Linked DNA regions of Astyanax mexicanus. Each later gene encodes a partner of the first gene's protein in a complex. Links are inferred from orthologs where the notes say so. Each region holds a gene or a part of one and is shown in the gene's direction. Other genes may lie near its edges.

What was found.
Region 2: rbm15b (region 1) and pre-mRNA-splicing regulator WTAP share a complex: the UniProt entries of both Homo sapiens proteins name them as parts of the WMM complex. The link is inferred for Astyanax mexicanus from reciprocal best matches to the Homo sapiens genes RBM15B and WTAP.
Region 3: rbm15b (region 1) and mettl14 share a complex: the UniProt entries of both Homo sapiens proteins name them as parts of the WMM complex. The link is inferred for Astyanax mexicanus from reciprocal best matches to the Homo sapiens genes RBM15B and METTL14.

Annotation. Positions count from the first base shown.
Region 1 is NC_064431.1:1,414,884-1,422,802, forward strand, and holds the start of rbm15b (putative RNA-binding protein 15B), read left to right. Parts: upstream 1-4,861; 5' UTR 4,862-5,108; coding exon 5,109-7,706; 3' UTR 7,707-7,919. UniProt on the Homo sapiens protein: RNA-binding protein that acts as a key regulator of N6-methyladenosine (m6A) methylation of RNAs, thereby regulating different processes, such as alternative splicing of mRNAs and X chromosome inactivation mediated by Xist RNA.
Region 2 is NC_064408.1:74,743,926-74,751,059, forward strand, and holds the start of pre-mRNA-splicing regulator WTAP, read left to right. Parts: upstream 1-4,113; 5' UTR 4,114-4,299; intron 4,300-4,378; exon of another isoform or gene 4,379-4,434; intron 4,435-4,510; exon of another isoform or gene 4,511-4,529; intron 4,530-5,862; 5' UTR 5,863-5,870; coding exon 5,871-5,900; intron 5,901-5,998; coding exon 5,999-6,054; intron 6,055-6,140; coding exon 6,141-6,199; intron 6,200-6,286; coding exon 6,287-6,414; intron 6,415-7,134. Other genes in the region: sod2 (superoxide dismutase [Mn], mitochondrial), read right to left, coding at 1-120, 276-392, 667-869, 1,539-1,567. UniProt on the Homo sapiens protein: Associated component of the WMM complex, a complex that mediates N6-methyladenosine (m6A) methylation of RNAs, a modification that plays a role in the efficiency of mRNA splicing and RNA processing.
Region 3 is NC_064432.1:11,010,777-11,018,272, reverse strand, and holds the start of mettl14 (N6-adenosine-methyltransferase non-catalytic subunit), read left to right. Parts: upstream 1-4,484; 5' UTR 4,485-4,627; coding exon 4,628-4,693; intron 4,694-6,946; coding exon 6,947-7,035; intron 7,036-7,496. Other genes in the region: NLR family CARD domain-containing protein 3-like, read right to left, coding at 1,159-1,278, 2,523-2,741. UniProt on the Homo sapiens protein: The METTL3-METTL14 heterodimer forms a N6-methyltransferase complex that methylates adenosine residues at the N(6) position of some mRNAs and regulates the circadian clock, differentiation of embryonic stem cells and cortical neurogenesis.

The DNA of each region.
Region 1 (7,919 bases):
ATGTGCTAGCCTTTACCCTCCTGGTGTTGGGGCATTGTTAGCAATAGCAGGAGTGCAGCTGAGTGGGTGGGATATTCTGCATAGCTAAAATTTGGGAGAAAAATGAGGCAGAAACACAAATGCACAAGTATAAATGCTCACAATAGCATGAGCCACTTGTGTAGGCTATATTGTAGACTCTAAATTGACCTGATTTAGTAGTATAAACCTTCCTGTGCTGTCTCTCTGCTCTGAAGATGGCGTAGTGATGATGGTATTGAGAAACAAACCAGTTACCAAAAAGTAGAGTCGGTAAAATACTACGCAGTGGAAAACACCAATAAGATCCAACTAAAGCAAAAGCTCTATCTGGACGGGATTAGTTTCTCAGGGGGGCGTCTGTAAAAATATTTCACACTTTTATTCAGTGATAAAACTCCTGCATCCGGACTGCAATTGAAAAAACAAACAGGAGGACCAGTGAGTTGTCGCTGTTGTGTTTTTAACGCGGTTCTGCGTGGAAACCGTGGGGCGTTCAAAGTGTAATTACGGTGCCCTACAGTGGACAAATAGCTATTTCATTAAACACGAAGAGACGAAACTCAGATGTGTGTCCGGACGGGACTAAAATTACCGGAGGGGCACGGAGTTCAGAGAAAAACAGTAGATAATTCAGCCTGTAATTTTTTATCTTAGAACACGTACATGATCGTTCTGGATGGGAATAAAATCACAGAGGATAAAACCCCCCCATAAAAGACATAGAATATTAACTAATCCCATCCGGATAATGCTAAAAACTCGAAAAACCAAAAGATCTAAAGAAAAAGGTGGATTGGTGACCCATGCCTAAAAAGTAAAAAAAATAAAGAAATAAAAATGTTCAGACCTGTGTATGTTTCAGCTTTGGGCCGAAGCCTCGCTTTACATCCAGCCTCACTTTAAACTTTATTTTCCCTTTTATTTTTAGTGCACTTAACTTTGATACAGCATTCATACCAGTGTAGTGAATGTTTATACAGAGATATGGTGTATAGATTTGGGGTGATATTACAAAACACTGTAGTTTCTTTATTTTTGATAAAGGGACAGGGCTTTTTTATTTTATATGATTTGATTTATTATTATATTAAAACAGACCGAAGTTGAGGAGGATGATTAAGGTGATCCATCTACTAAACGTGGTTCAATTCAAATGGACTTCACTGTAAAACATGTTTATTACAGTTGTACTATACTTTTTCATTAAAAAAAGAAAATGAACCCAATTCTTGTTTCTTGTGTAACGGCAGATATTAGTGGTGTGCTCCTGTTTTTATCTGCTCTGGTTTTGATCCTGAATGTTTGGATTCTTTCTGAAATAAGGTGTTTGAACCGGTTTAAAGTGGTGTAAACTTAATATGTACTAATAGGCTAAAGAAGTGTAGCATTAGCTTTTGATTTTTACAGTTTGAGATGCAACAAATATTGATAATTATATAGAAACCTTGAAGTTATTATATAAAATGACAAGCTTAAGCTTTAATATTTGCAAGGTTTAAATGCCCTGACTACTTCCACACATACCTTAATCTGAAAGAAGCCTGGAGACTGATCCCCTGTGTAACGTGCTCTCTATCCACTGTAGTTCCCACTTCCAGGATTTTGGTGATCACCAACAATACCCTTTGAAAGGAAGATATTGAAAGAATATAGTTATTTTAGTGTATTAGAAGTCATTTTGTTTTATTGTACAAGTATAGAACATATTAGGGCTGCACAATATTGGTATTGCACTCTCTAGAATAAGAAAATATAAAAATTGAGTACTAAAAAATAAGTTATTTAGAAATTCACTGAAACTACAAAAGGGGCAAAGAAAATCAAATGTAAAATAAGATTAAAAAGGTTTTAGCTATGAAGTATTGAAATAAGTAAATAAAAAATGAATCAATTATTAAAACAACATTAATTGAAATCTGTAATATAATATAATCTGTAATATACGATGGTGCCAATCCATAAGCATAATTAATAATATTGTGCAGATCTGACAATATTTGACATTTCCTCTCCTGCAAGGTGACTATTATGCTTGTGCACATTGCAATACTGATGCTAAAACACTATATTGTGCAGCCCTAACTCTCATCACATTAATATATTCCTCTAAATGAATCAAATGACAAGAATCACCATCTAGGCCACTACGTAGGCTCACTATTTAGGCTATGAGTGTGGGATGCCAAATATCATAAATTTACCTTTAAAACTGGCACTTTAACAGTGTACTCAAATAATTAAGTCAGAAGTCATTTTTGGGGACATGGCCAAATGCTGATATTTGTTTTTAAATTTTTCATAAATGTGTGTCAATAATTTTCATATTTAATAAGATTAACAATATTAACTAACCATATGTCCTATAATACATCAGATCCTGAAAATCGACATCTAGGCCCTGTACTTAGGCACACTATTAAGGCTACGAGTGTGCGATTTGGGATGCGTACTTTTGATGTCTATATTTACAGTTGTGGTCAAAAGTTTACATACACTTGTAAAAAAACATAATGTTATGGCTGTCTTGAGTTTTCAATAAGTTCTACAACTCTTATTTTTCTGTGATAGAGTGATCGGAACACATACATGTTTGTCACAAAAAACAGTCATAAAATTTGGTTCTTTCATAAATTTATTATGGGTCTGCTGAAAATGTCACCAAATCTGCTGGGTCAAAAATATACATACAGCAACAAAATTTGTCAATTTTGGTGATGTAGCGAGTTGTGTCAATCAAATTAGCTTCATGTCATGGCCTCTTCACTTCTTGTAAGTGATTCTGATTGACTACAGCTGTTGACTTCTCATGAGCCCATTTAAATAGGGCTCATTTGACCCAGTGATTAGACTCAGCTACAAAAGCTACAATGGGAAAGTCAAAGGAACTCAGTGTGGATCTGAAAAAGCGAATTATTGACTTGAACAAGTCAGGGAAGTCACTTGGAGCCATTTCAAAGCAGCTACAGGTCCCAAGAGCAACTGTGCAGACAATTATACGCAAGTATAAAGTGCATGGAACAGTTGTGTCACTGCCACGATCAGGAAGAAAACGCAAGCTATCACATGCTGCCGAGAGGAGATTGGTCAGGATGGTCAAGAGTCAACCAAGAATCACCAAGAAGCAGGTCTGCAAGGATTTGGAAGCTGATGGAACACAGGTGTCAGTCTCCACAGTCAAGCGTGTTTTACATCGCCATGGACTGAGAGGCTGCCGTGCAAGAAAGAAGCCCTTGCTCCAGAAAAGGCACCTTAAGACTCGGCTGAAGTTTGCTGCTGATCACATGGACAAAGATAAAACCTTCTGGAGGAAAGTTCTCTGGTCAGACGAAACAAAAATTGAGCTGTTTGGCCACAACACCCAGCAATATGTTTGGAGGAGAAAAGGTGAGGCCTTTAATCCCAGGAACACCATGCCTACTGTCAAGCATGGTGGTGGTAGTATTACGCTCTGGGGATGTTTTGCTGCCAGTGGAACTGGTTCTTTGCAGAAAGTAAATGGGATAATGAAGAAGGAGGATTACCTCCAAATTCTGCAGGAAAACTTAAAACCATCAGCCCGAAGGTTGGGTCTTGGGCGCAGTTGGGTGTTCCAACAAGACAATGACCCAAAACACACATCAAAAGTGGTAAAGGAATGGCTAAACCAGGCTAGAATTAAGGTTTTAGAATGGCCTTCCCAAAGTCCTGACTTAAACCCCATTGAGAACATGTGGACAGTGCTAAAGAAACGGGTTCATGCAAGAAAACCATCACATTTAGCTGAACTGCACCAATTCTGTCAAGAAGAGTGGTCAAACATTCGACCTGAAGCTTGCCAGGAGCTTGTGGATGGCTACCAAAAGCGCCTAGTTGCCGTGAAAATGGCCAAGGGACATGTAACCAAATAGTAATGTTGCTGTATGTATATTTTTGACCCAGCAGATTTGGTGACATTTTCAGCAGACCCATAATAAATTTATGAAAGAACCAAATTTTATGACTGTTTTTTGTGACAAACATGTATGTGTTCCGATCACTCTATCACAGAAAAATAAGAGTTGTAGAACTTATTGAAAACTCAAGACAGCCATAACATTATGTTTTTTTACAAGTGTATGTAAACTTTTGACCACAACTGTATTTCATTTAAATTAGTATATTTTAAAGTTTACTTAAATAAATTGACGTGATACTGGTCAGGAATCAAAAGCTTTAAATGTTTTTATTTTATTCATGTATTTGTTTGCGTACTTCATCATTAATAATACATACATTTAAACTACTAACCAATTTAACCCCGTGCTTTGGTTTGTTTTTTGTTTTTTTGCACAACATACAATCCATACTTAGGTAACAAACAACCATAATTACAAAAATATAAAAAAAACGTACAATGTAAAATAAATAAATAAATAAAAACAAAACAAAAAAAAAACATTAAAAAAAGAAAAGGGATTCATATAACATTGAAAAACTTCAAAATATATATGGATTTATGGCATTTTTATTTGTCGAAAACTAGTCAATAAGTGTATATATTATATAAAGTCTGAATAAACATGTTTATAGATATGTATTTATATAGAATATTTGCACAATTCAAAAGAGGTCATATGATATGGGACATTTTTCAGAAAATACAAGCTTTAAATATTTATGTTATAAATTAATCTATTTGCAAGTTTCCTAATTAATAATAAATGTAAACTACCAAATGAACCATGTGCTTCATAATGCGTTAAACCCTGAGAATCGCCATCTAGGCCACTGCTTAGGCACACTATTAAGGCTATGAGGATGCGATTTGGGACGTATCCCAGTGACGTCCGAGTCACGTGCGTCTGTGCTCCTCCTACCAACGGCGGCGCGCGCGCACGCTCCCATTGTCCAAGATGGCGGCGCGGGTGCAGCTTCTGTGATGCTGGTGTTTTCGGCGCGTTTGTTTGATGTTTTCCCGCTGAAGCTCCGTCCCCGTATCTCTCTCCGCGTCCGGCGGAACGCGCGTGACGCCCATCGCTCGCGCGGCGTGAGCGCGCGGTGTGGACCGGAGCTGTTTGGTGTCGCCCCGGTTTTTTTTCCTCCGCCGCCAAAAGTTTGCAGGGAGGAGGATGAAGCGGCAGGCCGAGCGGGACACGAGCCCGGCGCGAGCTGCCGCCAAACGGATCCGGGAGCGCGAGAGAGAGCGCGAACGGGAGCGAGACCGCGAGCGCGAGGGCAGACGAGGAGAGGATGCCATCATCGCCTCCGCGGTCGCCGCGCCTCCCGGTGCCCTCCTACCGTCGCCGCCGCTCGCGCTGCTGCTCGCGGACACTCGGAGCGGTTGCTATGGAAAACGTGAGGCGCGCGGAGGAGAGAGCAGCGCGCACCATCGGCTGCACCACGACGCCGGTGCCCTTTCCGCGCGCTCGGGCTTGAGACCAGGTGGGAAAGGTAAAGGGTCTGCAGGCGCCGAGATGCTCGGTGGCCGGGTGGCTGGGGGCGGGGCTGGCAGTGGTGGCAGCAGTAGTGGCAGTGGCGGTGGCAGCAGTAGCAGCAGCAGCAGTGGCCTCGAGTACAAAACCCTGCTGGTCAGCAACCTAGGCTCCCACCTGTCAGATGAGCACATAGAGGATGAGCTCTTCCACAAGTTCAAGAAGTTCGGAGATGTCAGTGTAAAGCTCTCCCACACACCTGAGCTTGGACGGGTAGCCTATGTGAACTTCAGGCAAGTAGAGAGCGCACGGGAAGCACGCCACGCCAGGACCCGCCTGGTGCTGGGGGACCGGGCACTTCGGGTCGAGCCTGTGTACGTCCGCCGCCGCAGCTGCACGCCTCCTGATGTGGCCTACGCTCCCTTGCTACACCCTGCCTACCTCTATAGGCAGCGCTCGCTCTCGCCAGGGCCAGGTGGCAGTGCCATCCGCGATACCCGGGCCAGGCACTATGCTGAGGGTGTCGTTGGGCTCGCCAGGGAGAGGGAGCGCCTCCTGGACTACTACAGCGCTTTGGAGGAGAGGAGCCGGGCACTGGCGTTGCAGCTGCAGGTGGAGGAGGACCTGAAACCAGAGGACGATCAGAGAGCGACTCGGAACTTGTTCATCGGCAACCTGGATCACAACGTGTCTGAAGCAGAGCTCAGGCAGGGCTTTGAGAAGTACGGCGTCATCGAGGAGGTGGTGATAAAGCGGCCAGCGCGTGGGCAAGGGTGTGCATATGCTTTTATTAAATTCCAGAACCTGGACATGGCTCACAGGGCCAAGGTAGCCATGCAGGGACGAGTGTTCGGGGGCAACCAGGTGAAAATTGGATACGGCAAGGCCAATCCCACCACACGCCTTTGGGTGGGCGGCTTAGGCCCGAATGTGTCTCTGGCCGCCTTGGCTAGAGAGTTTGATCGCTTTGGGAGCATCCGTACCATTGACTATGTAAAGGGGGACAATTTTGCCTACATCCACTATGAAAGCCTGGATGCAGCCCAAGCAGCATGTGCCCAGATGCGTGGATTCCCACTGGGTGGCCCAAACCGCAGGCTACGAGTGGACTTTGCCAAAGCTGAGGAAGTACGAGCATACCCGCAGCAGTACCAGCTGCCTCTTCCTTTGCCGCCACCTTTTGAGCCACTTAGCGAAGGTTACAGCCGCCACCGCAGCTTGGAGAGAGAACTTAGGGCTCGTGCTCGTTCACCCTCCCACCCACTTTTCGCAGAGAGGGAACGAGAGCGTGAACGTGAATGGAGTCCTCCTAAAAGCGTGGAACGCAGAACTAACACAGAAGCTTTTGGGCGGGGACGAGCCCGCAGTCGCAGCAGGGAGCGATGGACCAAGGACAGAGACTCTGATCGCAAAGGTTTGGACGAACGACGTAAGCGTCGGAGCCGAAGTCGCAGCATCAGTCCAAGTGACAGGCTGTATGAGGACAGGGGGCGCACCAGGGTGAGAGCAGGTGCCCCTGCAACCCCAGACGACAGTCCAGACCGGGCACGTGGCCGCCTTCCTGACTCCACCTCAGAGCCCCAAAGCCACACACCTGACAGCAGCCGCCAGTCCGGAGACGAGCGAGCTCAGTTGCTGTTGCAGGAGGATTCAAACAAGCATCGTAAAGGAGGAGAACATGAGCGGAACCACCGCAAAAGTGATGCAGACTTAGATCAGCAGGTGAAAAAGTTCAAGAGCGAGCCCAAAAAGCCCAGCACGCTCTCAGAATACGCCCAGACCATCAGCAGAGTGTGGCACGGCTCCCTGGTGCTGAAAAACAGCAGCTTCCCCACCAACATGCACATCCTGGAAGGAGGGGCCAGCTTCTTCCTTTCCCTCATGAAAGACAACCAAGCGGGCAGTGCCAAGATCACACAGCTCAAGATAGCCCAGCGACTCCGACTGGACCAGCCCAAGCTGGATGAGGTGACCCGCCGCATCAAGCTGGGCAGCCCCGACGGCTACACCGTCCTCCTGGCCGTCCAGGGCCCCATGGACCAGGACTCGCCTCCTCTGGAACCTGGAATCCAGAAACGCCTTCTGCGCAACCTGGTCACCTACCTCAGAAACAAGCAGGCAGCTGGCGTGATCAGTCTGCCAATCGGAGGACCCAAGGAACGTGAAACGGGGGGCATGCTGTACGCCTTCCCCCCCTGTGAGTTCTCCCAACAGTACCTTCAGACTGCTCTTAAAACTTTGGGCAAAATAGAGGAGGATCACTTGGTCATTGTGGTCGTTAAAGATTCACTTTAATAGTCCTTTTATAGTGCAGTGCTGTTTAAAACACACACACACAGGTCCAAACTTAAAAGAATACCACTGTCTTCTCAAAAATCTGTAAATTTCAGTGTTTCCCAGTTCTGGTCCTGCTGGTATTTGATCTGATTTTTCTATATTTGACAAACTTTCCTGACTTTTGATAAACTACGTAATAGTGTAATTCATAAATATTTTTTTTTCCAAAGC
Region 2 (7,134 bases), on another chromosome or scaffold:
CCTTATCAAAGCCCAGCCACCCCCATCCTGACCCCTGAACTGCCACAGTAGCAGCAGACATCCTCTCCTTAAACTTCTGGAATGAGCCAAAGTCACGCTTAATGGCCTCCATAAGCTCACCTGGGTAAAATAATGTGTAATATTCATATAAGACATACTATTAAAACCTTTTAGTGTACGACAGCTTGTGAAGATGACATAAATTAATGGTTTGCAACAAACATGATGCGAATGCTGAAAATTAAGAGAAAAATAAAATGTACTGCATCTCTCACCCTGTGGCTCTCCTCCTCCATTTGGGGACAGGTTTGTCCAAAAAATGGTGTGGTTGATGTGACCACCACCATTAAACCGCAGAGCTGACTGAAGTGCCACTTGTGTTGTCACATCACCTACAAAACCCCACCGTTCATAAAAAGAGCAAACCAAAAAAAAAAAGAAGAAACAAAGTACTTTAATTAGGAATGACCAAATTTGTATGTACTTTAATTCATAAAGCTTCTCATAGTATAAGCTTATCACGTTTTTGATCCTTGAGCAATGCTTCTACTTCAAGAGGCTTTGTGAATATGAGCCCAGGTCTTACACAATACAGTAAATACTTCATCCATTTGCTGGTGGCTGAAGCCTGAACACTTTATTGTAACTGGATAAACTTTGATTCACCTTTGGCCAGGGCCTCTTGGTATTTCTCTTCAGTAACGTTGAGATTGTTGACGTATGTTGCATGGTGCTTGCTGTGGTGAAGTTGCATGATCTCAGCACAGACGTGGGGCTCAAGTGCCCCATAATCATAAGGGAGGTCTGGAAGTGTGTGCTTTAGTCTTGAGGCCAAGGCACCCAACAAAGGGTTTAAGGTGGCTGTGCACCTAAAAACAGAAGGAGACAGAGGTGAAATGTGTTAGACAAACTCAAGTACAATGAACTTTGTAGCTAAAACTGTCTGGACTCAACTAACCTAGCTAAAAAAATAGGAGCTGCTTATTGAACTTACCTGTTTAAATTTTGGATTTTGTAACCTAGTTATCAGTAACTTATTCATAAACTTGTGTGAACTCTCATGGGATAACGCTCACTTTTGCTAGTTATTCATTTAAGGTCTAAGTTAGTTAGGTTAGCTAGTTAGCTAATTTGGCTTAGCTAAACATTTTGACGTTGAGCTTTAATTACATAAGCTGCTAAAATAGCTATCCCTGCTACCACTGCCAGAAACGGCTAACAAACATATGAGGAGACTAAGCTAGCCTAGCTAGCTGTTAGGGGACAAGCTAAGTGCTAAAAGTGGTAGTGAAATTATGTGTTTTATAATTATAACTGCAGATAAATAGAGCTGTAAAATGAACAGAGTGCTGCTGTGCTGTAACTTAGCAGTTAGCTGTCTGTCTGACTGCAGGTCATGTGTTACCGCTAACGCTGTCAGCTCACTCTACTCTATAAAGCGCTGTTTGCTAGGCTAACAGCTCACACAGCTTCTGTGTTTAAAAACGCCGAGAATCCTCAACATTTCCACAGACTCCAGTCTAAATCTGTGTCGTTACCTGCGAACATGTCCAACTCTGCCAAACATGTTCTTATTCTCTCTACAGCGGTGTCTCTGACAGTGAGCTCTGAGCAGCTGCGACTCCCCCTCTCACTCACTCCATTCTAACCTGCCCTTGAAATTTCAACTTGAACTCCAGTAGGACTGAACCATTACTCCGTCTGTAGGTAACACATATGTTTAAATGTTTCTCTCTACACATACCACGTCAATTAAAATGTTAAAAATAGTAACATAACGATTTAAAACCGTAAAGTAAACACAATATGTGTCGATCTGTTCATAAAGGTATATAAACGCTTTAATATAAGAGCTGAGAAATCTGTCCCACCCCTAAAAATGATTAGATTAATCCGCACCTCTTCGCTGCCTGGCCTTGTTGTGTTGCATGCTTAGTTTTTTCCAGTGCTGGTAGAGATACCTGCTGTATCACTACATGAAGTGTGTGTGTGTGTGTGTGTGTGTGTGTGTGTGTGTGTGTGTGTGTGTGTGTGTTTGTGGGTGTGTATAATGATTTCAGTCGTTCATGCTTTTATAAGCCCTTTTAAAGTTTTAAGTTTTAAAACAGTGTATTAAAATCAGCTAATATTAGCTAATTGAGCTGTGAAAAAAAACAATTGTATTTAAGGTGTACATACATGTCACAAAAATGAGTACACCCTTCACCTTTTTGTAAATATTTTATTTTAATAGGACAACACTGAACATATGACACAACGTAAAGTGGTCATTAATCTCTACACCGCTGGCAACTAAAGTAAGTACACTTTTGAAAATTGTGCCTAATTACCCCTTCTTTCTCCCCAGTGTCATGTGACTTGTTAGTTTTACAAGGTCTCAGGTGTAAATGGGGAGCAAGCTAAATTTAATGTTTTGAGTACAATTCTCTCATATTGGCACTTCATGGCAAGAAAACCCTCTGAGGATGTAAAAAAAATATAATTGTTGCTCTCCGCAGAGATGGCTTAGGCTATAAGAAGTTTGGTGACACCCTAAAACTGAGGGCCATTGTCATACAGCAGTTTTTAGGACAGGTTCTGTTCAGAGCTGCCTCCCCAGGGTTGACCAAAGAAGTTGAGTCCACATGTTCAGCGTAACATCCACAGGCTTGCTTTAACCATAGATGCATGAGTAGTGCCAGCATTGCTGCAGAGCTTGAATAAGTAAGAGTAAGAGTTCTCCTCCCTTCCGAAACTGGGCCGCATGGCAGTTTTCCATCATGATAACGACCCCAAACATATCTCCAAGATGAGAAATGCTTTGCTGAGGAACCTGAGGATAAAGGTGATGGCCTGGACAAGTATGTCTTTAGACCTACACCCAATTGAGGAAGGTGGAGGAGCGCAAGGTCTCTAACAGCCACTAGCTCCATGATGCTGTCATGATGGAGTGGAAGAGGATTGGCAACCTGTAAAGCTCTAGTGAACTCCATGCCCAAGAGGGTTAAGGCAGTGCTGGAAAATAATGGTGGCCACACAAAATATTTACCCTTTGGGCACAATCTGGACATTTTCACAGTGGTGTACTTGGTTTTGTTGCCAGATATTTTGAGGAAATAGCAAAATATATATATATATAAGCTGTACACTGATTACTTTACATTGAATCAAAGTGTCATATCTTTAGTGTTCTTCCATGAAAAGATTAAATATTTACAAATATATGAGGAGTGCACTCACTTGTGTAAGATACTGGATAAGCCACACACTACACAGTTATCAATACAAAAAAAATAATAGTTATTTAATAATTTCCTTTAACAGAAGCTATGTCTTTATTTTTTGGGTTTATTGTATAAACAACAAAGAATCATAAATAAATATGAGGTTGTTGCAGAATACTCTAAAGTTTGGAGCTGATGACATGGCTTTAACAGTTGTTTATACTGTATAAACTATTCCCATTAGGGCATCAATTTCATAACCTGATTTATTTTACTTCAGGTTAGTATCATGGTGTATTAACAAGACCATCATATTTTTTCTAGCAATAAATGTGGGAAGGAAATAACATTAAAGAGATATCCTGCCAAAAGGGAGTGCAGGTACAAAATAGGTGAGCGACAGTTTCCAAAGCTGTGGAAACTGTGGCAAAAAGAACATTTTCATGAAACGTACATTTTAAAATTTTTGAGCAGGACATAACATGGATAAAATAAATGTCTTTACCTTTGTTAGAAAGCAGCTATTTACTAATTGCCAGAGAGAAAGGAGAATTCCTTTTTCAATTCGTAATTTGCAACAGGGAGGCAGCTACATGCTTCATTAGCTGGAGTTACAGCTCCTGATACGGTCAGTGTAACAGTCCTAAAACTGTAACAGTTATACCCCTTATAACAAGATATCGCTAATATGAGGATTATGACTTCAGTGAGCTTCTATAAGGTATATTATTTTAAGAATAAAAAAAAATACATTACATATCATATACTTTCCGTGAAATATATCTATTCCTGAATTCAGCGTGAATATTACACCTTCATCATTTATTAATCCAGTCTCTCCTGAGCGGGGTCTTGTTTTGAACAGTCGCTGAACTGGTTAACAGGCTGCAACACACATCATGTAAGCCGCCCCGCCCCTTCAGCCTCTGCGGCGGAACATCCATCGTCCTCGCGGTGATGGCGGCTACGCGGAGCTCGCGTTAAGCTCAGGCTCGGGTCGTTTTAAGATTGAAATACGCTATTAGAGGGACGGGTTGCTCGTTAGTAGCGCGCTAGAAGCAGATTGGGTCATCTTGGTCTGAGTAAAGCAGGGCTTGTAAGTATCTCGGGTGTCTTTTTCTGGCTCGTTTCTGGTAAACAAGTTCTGAGAGCTGCGCTGTTGGTCGGAGGGAGAGTCTCTTCCTTTTCCGCCATTTTGTGACAAGAAACTGATAACACACGGAGCCGGCAGGTACTAGTCTAAACGCCGCGCTGGTCTCGGGATTCTGCTCGGGTGTAGTTCAGTGGTTCGTGGGGAATTCCGTCTAAATAGTTCGGGGACTGGAGGTGTGTGTCTGACCCGCCGTTCTGCTCCGCTGGGCTCCGCTGATTTTAACGCGGTTAACGCAGCAGCGCCAGCCCTGCTAGCTCGGTATTAGCTGTTCACGCTGGCTAACGGGCTAACTAGCTTAACTACATTACCGAGAATAAACAGCCAACAGGCCTCGGTTAGGGGTTTAAGGACACGGATTTCTGGCGGACAGTAATGAGAGGTTTTTACTGAGACACTCTAGGTTAGTTACGAACTCGTATGGTCCACAAATGCTAACCAACGCAGTCCAACAAACGTGCGAGGGGCTGTAGTGTATAACATGTTCAGGCTAGGCTAGGCTAGATTACGTAGAGGAGCAGAACGAAACGCTAGCTAACTAGCCAGCTCTTAAAACAGTCTCCGTTTATACATGTCCCTGCTAATGACGTTACAGGCTTTTACCGCTCTGTGCGCAGAGCGCAACTATCTAAACTGTGGTCCATTTTGCTTGTACCCAAAGCACGGCGAGGCTGAGTCAGTGTAACGTTAACGTTTGAGTTCCATATTCTGACCGTTATAGAGGATAAATTCAACAATACACTACGATTGTTGTGTGAAACTTCATTAACTTACTTAGCTATTATTATTTTCTCAGTTTGTTGTAATGAAGAAGAAATGTTTGTCTTTATTTCTTCTATTTTTTAAAATATTTTTTCACTCCAACAACTCATTTCTGCAGCACAAAATAAGAATTTCAGGAAAATTATTTTCTAGATTTTCAGATTTGTCCTTTTTTGTGTATTGTAACAAAAGTTGAATTATATGGTAAGAATTCTAAAATCAAAACAATATAAAGTCATTTTTAAAATGGATTTTTCCTGAAATTCTGTTTGCAAAACACAGAATTGACTAACAGAAAATTGGTAAAATAAAAAAACACTTCTTTCTCATTATAGCTACTAAATGGGAAAATTTTAAAAATGAATACAGTTTTATATTTTCGAGTTTAGCCCCAAATTTAAATGATATTAGTTACACTGACTGTCTGGTGTTGATTTATTTTTGTTCAGAGTTTCTGTTTCTCTGTTTAAATGGTGCTGTAGGTATAACTTGGCTATTATATTGCTTGTGTGCTTTAGTCCATCTAGCCAGCCTAACCTTTGCACCAATTACAGTGGAAGTGAAATAGGTTATAAAATGAACCTCCTACAAAAACGTCTTCTAGTAAAGTGTGTGATCTCGCACTTTATTTCTAATGTGGCCATTTTATGGTATTGGAGCAACCAGAGCTGTATGTTGTGAATCTGTTGTTTTTCTTCTGAAGTAAAACAGTACGTCTTATATTTGTTTATTTTTGTCATTTTGCAGAGATCAAGATGACTAATGAAGAACCTCTTCCCAAGAAGGTGAGCGCATTGGCACAGTGATCTTAACTGGCTGTGAAATATGATGAGGAAATCTCTGCTATGTCAGTTTATTAATGCTTCTATTTCTGGTATTTCAGGTTCGCCTTAATGAATCAGACATGAAGACCCTGACCAGAGAGGAGCTGTGTACACGGTAAGGATAAGTTTTCTTTTTAATAAATATTTTAATTACGGTTCTTTTCTTTAAATAATGCAAAAACATTTTACTTTCCATCTTAGGTGGAAACAGCATGAAGCCTATGTCCAGGTGCTGGAGGCAAAATATGCTGATTTAAATTGTAAGTCTCCGCACATGCACTCTGATTTATTTTCTTGATTTATTGCATTGTTTGTGCGAGCATTTGAATGGTATGCTTTATCCACAGCCAATGATGTGACTGGTTTGAAAGAGTCTGAGGAGAAGCTAAAGCAGCAACAACAGGAGTCTGCACGCAGAGAGAACATTCTGGTGATGAGGCTGGCCACTAAGGAGCAGGAGATGCAGGAATGTACAGTAAGTATTTTTCTTCAGATTTAGATCACCTGACATCTGTCCTACTCTCCTTTAGTCCACATTTAGGATATATATGTTGCATGGAAGTAGTAGTTAATTTATACAGAAGCAAAGATATTTTTGCTATCTCGAATGCATGAATAAAAACTCTTGTTGAGATTTGTATTACTATTCTATGAATGTAGCAGTTATTTTCTTTTTTTCTAATTTGGGCATTGGTGTGTCAGACATAAGTTTTAAATGCCATCACAAAATAAAGCACCTGTGGCCTGTACCTCAGAAAAATTAGTCAGTTTATATAGAGTCAGTCATTAATATATCATTATGCCAATGTAAGCAATTGGAAAACATTAATTACATTATTCAATGAAAAAAGTAAATGAGGATGAGAAGTAAGCTTTCCTATCAGAAGGGCATTTTAAAATGAACATTTACTTTGTTTGTGTACAAGTATGTAAGTATGCTAAGTTATGGGTTGCAGGACTAGTGCTGGCTTTCAGGCTCAGTTGTTGTAGTATAAAATATAAATGTAAATATACATTTTGATCGTACACAATGTTTATCTCATTATTTTGACACACAAATTAGCCATATCACAGTAGAGTTTGATAAGTGCCATGCTGGTAAAACTTTATATGTAGTACAGTGATTTTTATTCTGTATTTTCTGCACTTCATTCATTGAAATAGGACTAAATACACTCTTTGAATATAACCTGCA
Region 3 (7,496 bases), on another chromosome or scaffold:
TCAAGAATTAAGTCTGGCCTACATGTGGATTGTCCAGTTTGAACGCTTTGCAAGGCAGCCAAAGAGTCAGAACATACCAACAAACCCAAAGGACATGTCTCCTTGGCCCAATGCAAAGCCAGAAGGATAGCCACTAGTTCAGTTATAAATACAGATATATCATTGGTTAGCCTTTTGCCACTGAAAATGTGTAATTCAGGGAAAAAAACGGCTGCTGATGTCATCCCTGAAGAAGGATGTTCAGAGCCTTCTGTATAAACTTGTAGCATACCATAGTATGACTGGTTTAAGTGCCTCCCAACTATACCAGAGGTGCTCTACTGGTCATCTACAGCAGTGGTTCCCAACCTATGGGTCGCGACCCAACCTATGGGTCGCCAAAGATCCACGATGGGTCGCGAAGCCCTCTTGATTTTAAGGGGTTTAATTTTAATACTATATATAGTCTAGGGTAAGCAAAATTCGCCGCGCTGCGCTCTCTCTGTCTCTCTCTCTCTGGCGCGCGCGGGCGCTCTCAGCCCCAGCGCGGAGCTGAATTCAGCGCGAGGCTGAATATAATAATATAATAATATAAGAATATAAAACTCAGTTTAGTTAAATAAATGAAAATGAGTGAGGGCCTGTAAAGTTAATCAATTATTGTCCAATATTTGGACAGGTTGAGGTTTTGGTGAGCTGTTTTACTGATTTGAAACTGAAACTGAAACTGATATTATTCTTTTTTTTGTTGTTTGTTTTTATTTTATATAAATTATTTTTTATTCATTTTAAAGAGTTGTATTATTTTATTGATCTAATTATTTTTTTTCTTCATAAGATAAAAATTCCTTATGTTTTATGTATCAATTTTTCCTTTTTTACGTGTTTATTTTATTCATCTATAGTAAATGTCAGTTTTTATTTGTCATTTCTAACCCCCCCCCCCACCCCCCCACCCCAACCCAATTATACACTTACATCTTTTACATTTGGGGGGGGGGGGGGGTATGTTGGGTCACCAAAGCTTACAATGGTAAAAATATGTGTCCCTGAAGAAAAAGGTTGGGAACCACTGATCTACAGCACGCATACGCTCATGTAGCGTTATGTCATCATTAGGTTCAGGAAACATCCATGGTGATATCACTGCTCTAGGCACTGTAGCACACAGATCCGTACCCCAGACACCCAGTTCTGCTGCCTCTCTAGCACACACACAGCCAAAACTTCTAGGAGTACAATGATGTTGATGTAAACAATCATGCGTAATGGGTACCACAGGTTGATTTTCCTCATGGCCTGTAACAGAGGTCCAATATACTGTGGATAATGCCAATCTACGCAACTGTAAGGGTAATTCCCCAGAAGACTTCACCGCTCCACAACACAAACGCAGCGCCTGAGCTTGAACTCGGTCCAAAATTGCCAGATTAGTCTTGGCAGCAGATCTATATGCTATGCAACCATAGTCAAAAACTGACCGCACCAATGCTCTATAGATATAAAGGAGTGAAGGTCGGTTAGCCCCCCAGTCACATCCTGACAAGCACTTCATAACATTAAGGGCCCTTTTACACTTATCTAGTATCTTGTTAATATGAATATTCCATGTTAGCTTGGAATCCATCCACATACCTAAGAACTTGACCACCTTGACTTGTTCTATTTCCAAACCATACAACTTCAGACCAAGGGTAGTTGGCGTCCGACGATTTGAAAAGCAGATAGCCTGCGATTTTGATGCCAATGATCGGAAGCCCCAGCTATTAGCCCAATGCTCTACTTTGGTCAATGCCTCTTGCATCTTCTTCAACATCTTCTTTAAAACAAACAGGAGATTACTACCCCTTTTTCACAAGGCCCCATTGTCTGCATAAGGTGACTTGGCTACACCTGAGCCAACCGAAAAGAAAATATCATTAATCATCACATTAAAAAATAGAGGGCTAGATACACTACCCTGTGGAGTCCCATTTTCTATGCAGTAAACTCCTGATTGTGCTTGCCCCACCCTCACTTGCAACATCCTTTTACTGAAAAATTCCAAAATCCAGTTATATAGCCTCCCTCCAACCCCCACCTTATCCAGTTTAATAAGCAAGCCCTCAGTCCATAACATATCATACGCCTTTTCTATATCTAAAAATACAACCATCACTACTTCTTTATACAATTGCGCTTTTCTTAGCTCAGATTCCAGACACAACACTGGGCCCATTGTCATCCTACCTTGTCTAAAGCCACTCTGATAGTTTACAAAACCATTTCGTGCCTCAAGATAATAAGTCAGTCTGTCTGTTAACATACGCTCCATGCACTTACTTACATGAGACGTGAGTGAAATAGGCCTATATCCTGCTAGACTAGATAAGTCTTTACCAGGCTTACCTATAGGTACTACCACCGCCAACTTCCATGCTGCCTTACAATGTATTATAAAACTCTATAATTACAAAAAGAGATGCATCTGATAAATGCTTAAACATATCATAGCACACATAATCTTTCCCAGGTTATGTGTGACCAGATTTCGCAATTGCTACCTTCAGTTCCTGTAGCGTGAACTCCGTGTCCAGTACACCACTAAAATCCTCTTTCCGAGACAGAACTCCAGGATATTGAGAACGAACACTTTCCCGGAACTGTTGCATAGTGTCACTTAAATTAGCCGAGCTATGGATCTTTGCAAACTCCTGCGCTAACATCTCTGCCTTATCAGCATCGGTCACTGCCTCAGTAACGCAGCTTTGCAATACCGGCATATTATTCTCTCTTCTTATTCCCCTTATTTTCTTAATGATGTGCCATAAATCACATACTGAAACATCATATCCAATGGTGCTACAGAACGTTCTCCAATAGGACCATTTCGCCCCTTTAACAGTTCTCCTTACCTCTGCTTGAGCCTTTCTATAAGTCACCAGATCGCAAAATAACAGCGACCTCTGAACCTGTCTTAGAGCTGCATTGCGGAGCTTCACTGCCTTAGAGCACTGTTCTGTCCACCAAGGAACAGCTTTCCTCCCTGTGGGCTGCTTTTTAAAGGAACTGACTCTTCCGCAGATCTTTACAAAATCATACACAACTTGTTAATATACTCATCAACATCATCAGAATTAACCTGCTGTTTGAGCCTATCATCACAAATCACAGAAAAATTCTTCCAATTAGCTTTAGGCTGTCCCATCCCTGAACACTTTCAGTCGTACAGCCTCTAGCACACTAGCGACTTCTTGATTTGATCCATTGTAATATCAAGGGGGACCCCAGTTATCACTCCCTTCAGCCTTACTGCCTCTCTGAACAAGCTTGCAGATAGCGATTTTCCACCCAGGCTTGTAAGTTTTAATGCTTTATCACGCTGTCGTGCATCTTTACAGGTAATCAATACCTTACCATCTCAGACATCCCAAGTTGCAAAAGTTGATTTCAGGCAGGTTACCCTACCACCGAACAGACTCTTTGCAGAGAACAGGCCAATCAGAACCCTCTCTGTTTTCTCTCTCTCCTTCCCACACGCGATTAGAGAAAAAAAGTCACCTGTGTGCGCGTTTGGGGCACTCGTTCTGAATTCCGTGACTCGCGGGCATCAGGGAGCCACTACCGAAATGCGGGAGATTCCCGCAGCTTCAGGGAGACTTGATTTGTCTGCCATCTCTCAAGATCTTTGCTGCAGCCAGATCACCCACAGCTTTCCTAAGCTCACTCTTTAATCTTATTGGATTTAATGGAGTCCCAGATTCAGTTCCAAACTTAAGAAGAACTGTATACTGTGCTACATGCTCCTCCTTCCTACACTTGACATGCGTAGGAAGCTCCTGACTCTCTCTCATGATCAGATAATCTCCTACCTTTCTTAATTCCAGCAGTTTGCCACGCTCCTCCACCATCCCACGACCCGCTCTTTATCCCAAACATTTCCAACTCACTCCCTTCTTCCTTCCATCTCCACTCCTTCCAGGTGAGCTACCAGCTCTTTTCCTAAACCGTGACCGCTAGCTATGTACCTGGGCTCATCAACCAACCAACCTCGTGATGTAACCAGTGCTGCACGGGCAAAATGGTGGCGCACTAGCGCAAACGTAACAAACATATATATGTTACAATTTAGTGTGTAAACATTTTAGATAAAAAAATCCCCTCCCAAATAAATTCCATTATATTTAATCCCTTGGAAAACTTGTACGAACTGAAATGTTTCATGTCCACTTTAAAATAAAAAAATAATAATAATAATCAAGTTTTTACATGCAATTTTCAAATGTTGCATTTAACCTAAAAGAAAATTATGAAATAATAAAAAAATAAATGAATAAACGTTACACAGACTTTAGTTAATAATTGTTTTTAATGTGTGTTTTTAATGGTTTACCTCTATTCACCTCCATTCACTCAGGTCTCCCTCGCGGGCTCCCTCTAGCGGCACGCGGTGGTTTAGAGCTCAGGATTGGTCGGTCTTCCCGCTCTCTCGCTCTGTCTCGCGCTCTGTCTCTCGCGCGGTGACACTGTGTGACGCGTATCTCCTGCGCCGGCCGGGCTGTGTTTGAATGTGTCTGTGTGCGCGCGGGTTTCTCTCTGCATCGCTTTAAAAACCCGTGTATTTATTATAATTCTGAGTAAAGTGGTCAGACTCTGATTCAGATCAGAGATGAACAGCAGACTGCAGGAGATCCGGGAGCGGCAGAAGCTCAGGAGACAGCTGTTAGCCCAGCAGGTAAAAAAAAAAACAAAGAGAGAGAGAGTAAAACACTCTCAGAAACAGAGAAACCACACACAGAGAGAGAGAGAAAACACATTCAGAAACAGAGAAAAACACATTCAGAAACAGAGAAAACACATTCAGAAAGAGAGAAACAGAGAGAGAGGGAGAGATAGAAAGGGAAACACAGAAAAACACACTCAAGAAACTGAGTGAGAGAGACAGAAACACACACAGGAAAAACATGCTTAAACTCACAGAGAGGAAAACAGATACAGAGAGAGAGAGAAAACTAATTCAGATAAATTTACAGAGAGAGAGAAACACAGAAATCACGCTTAAATAGAGAGAAAAACAGTCAGAAACAGGCAGAGATAAACACACAGAAAAACACTAAAACACACTGAGAGAAAAACACACTTAGAAACACAGAGAGAGAAAAACAGATACAGAGAGAGATAGAGAGAGAGAGAAAAACACTTAGAGATAGAGAAACTTACAGTGAGAGAGAGAGAGAGAAATACAGTCAGAAACACAGAGAGAAAAACACAGTAAGAGATACAGAGAGAAAGAGAGAGAGAAACACTCAGAAACAGAGAGAGAGAGAAGCACAGTCAGAAACACACACAGAGAAATACTGTTAGGTACAGAGAGAGAGAAAATAAACACACTCAGAGGTACAGAAATATTTAGAGAGAAACTCACAAACAGAGAGAGAAAAAACACTCAGAGATAGAGAAACTTACAGTGAGATAGAGAAAAACACAGTCAGAGATACAGAAAGAGAGAGAGAAAACACACTCAGAAACAGAGAGAGAGAAACAGTCAGAAACACACAGAAATACATACAGATACAGAGAGAGAGAAAAACACACTCAGAGGTACAGAGAGATTCACAGAGAGAGACTCAGAAACACAGAGAGGAAAACAGTCATAAACAGAGAGAAAAAAAAAACACTCAGAGATAGCGAGAGATTTGCAGAGAGAGAACACTTAGAGAAATTTACAGTGAGAGAGAGAGAATAACAGTCAGAAACACAGAGAGAAAAACAGTCAGATACAGAGAGAGAGAGAAAAAAACACTCAGAGGTACAGAGAGATTCAGAGAGAGAGAGACACTCAAACAGAGAGGAAAACTAAGTCATAAACAGAGAGAAAAAAACACTCAGAGATAGAGAGAAAACAGAGAAAAACACAGTCAGAGATACAGGCTTAGATTAGTCACAGTACAGACACAGCACCCTTACAGATCCATATAATAACCTACAGTTTTTACTAATAAATTCTCTTTCAGAAAAGAGATATAAGCACTGTACTAATTGGGCCATTCCACAGAACGGGTGCTATTGATTGTTGTAACTTTTCCAAATTAAACTTTTTAATTTTTTTAATATCACATGTATTTAACTATTCAAAACATGTAATTGTCAAGTGCAGGCAGCTTTACCTTACTACTTTTTTACAAGGTTTCTAAGCCGAAGATGTTTACAAAACTCGTGTGACATTTAAAAAGCATGTTCAAATGCAACTTTGTGTTTCTTTCAAGAAAGTCTTTATTTTAAAGAAATGTTCGACTGTATGTTCAAATAAGTGATATTTATGACCAAAAATCATTAACAAGTTAATGGCACTGATTCCTGTTACTGGAACTCATTCCTGTTAATGCCACTCACTCCTGTTACTTTTTATGTTTTGAGTAACGGGAATTAAAGTGACAGGACTGAGTTTTTAGCATAGAATTATGCTGTGCTAATAGCATGAGGACACTAAGCACATTCTAGTGATTTTGATGGGGTAATTTGTTAAGCTAACAGGACTGAGTGAAACCCAGGGACACAACCTAAATGTGTATTTTAACTTAAATATTATGGATTTATAATGAAAAAAATATTTTTAAAGGAGTGATTTGCTTTTAAAATATGCTTTTAAATGTTTTTAACTTTTAAATGTTTTTAACTGATTCGTTTTTATTCGTTTTTTTATTTTATTTCCTCTCATATTAATAACTTACAGTATTCAGAGCTTGTAATTAATTGAATTTCTCCTAATATTAATCTAGCCGTTATCTATAGCTGTTATTTTAACACATATCTATGCAGTTTAATGTAATAGTAGTCTGATTGGGCACTTTTGAATTAACCAGTCAAACCCATTAATAATCACATAAATCATCAATCAAAAAAAAGTAGTAGTCTGATGTTTTTGTATTTTTACATCACTTATGCTTTACACTGAGAGCTGAGGGAAGATGTTTGTGTTGTTTTGCAGCTCGGAGCAGAAAGTGCCGACAGTATCGGCGCCGTTCTCAACAGCAAAGAGGAGCAAAAGGAGATCGAGGAGTCCAGAGAGACCTGCAGGTATTCCTACAGTTTACTGCAGTAGTAGACACAAAAGTACACAAACCCTGTATTTGAGTTGAAGTAGATGTAGAGAGGGTAAAACATTACTCCAGTAATAGATGTATAAGTCCTCGGTTTAACGCTCCACAACAGTAAAAGTACTTACTTTTAAAAGAATTCACCTTAAAGGTCTCATTCAATTGTTTTTACATTCATTTTAAAATGTCTAGTTGTGGTCTCTGGTGTTTCTGTATAACCCTGCTTTAGATCACTGAATTAGTGGTCTCTGAAGAAGGACAGGATTTCGGCTCTTGCTCATGAATGCATTGCCTCCGATTGGTTATCAGCACTAGGGTTGTGCCTAGTGTCATGTATGACCCAACATCTTGATGGATGGTAACCATCGCAATGCCACGCCCACTTTTTTGTTTTTCCAGAAACATGCTCTGACCTTCTTTAGGTCTCCTTCACCTAAAACT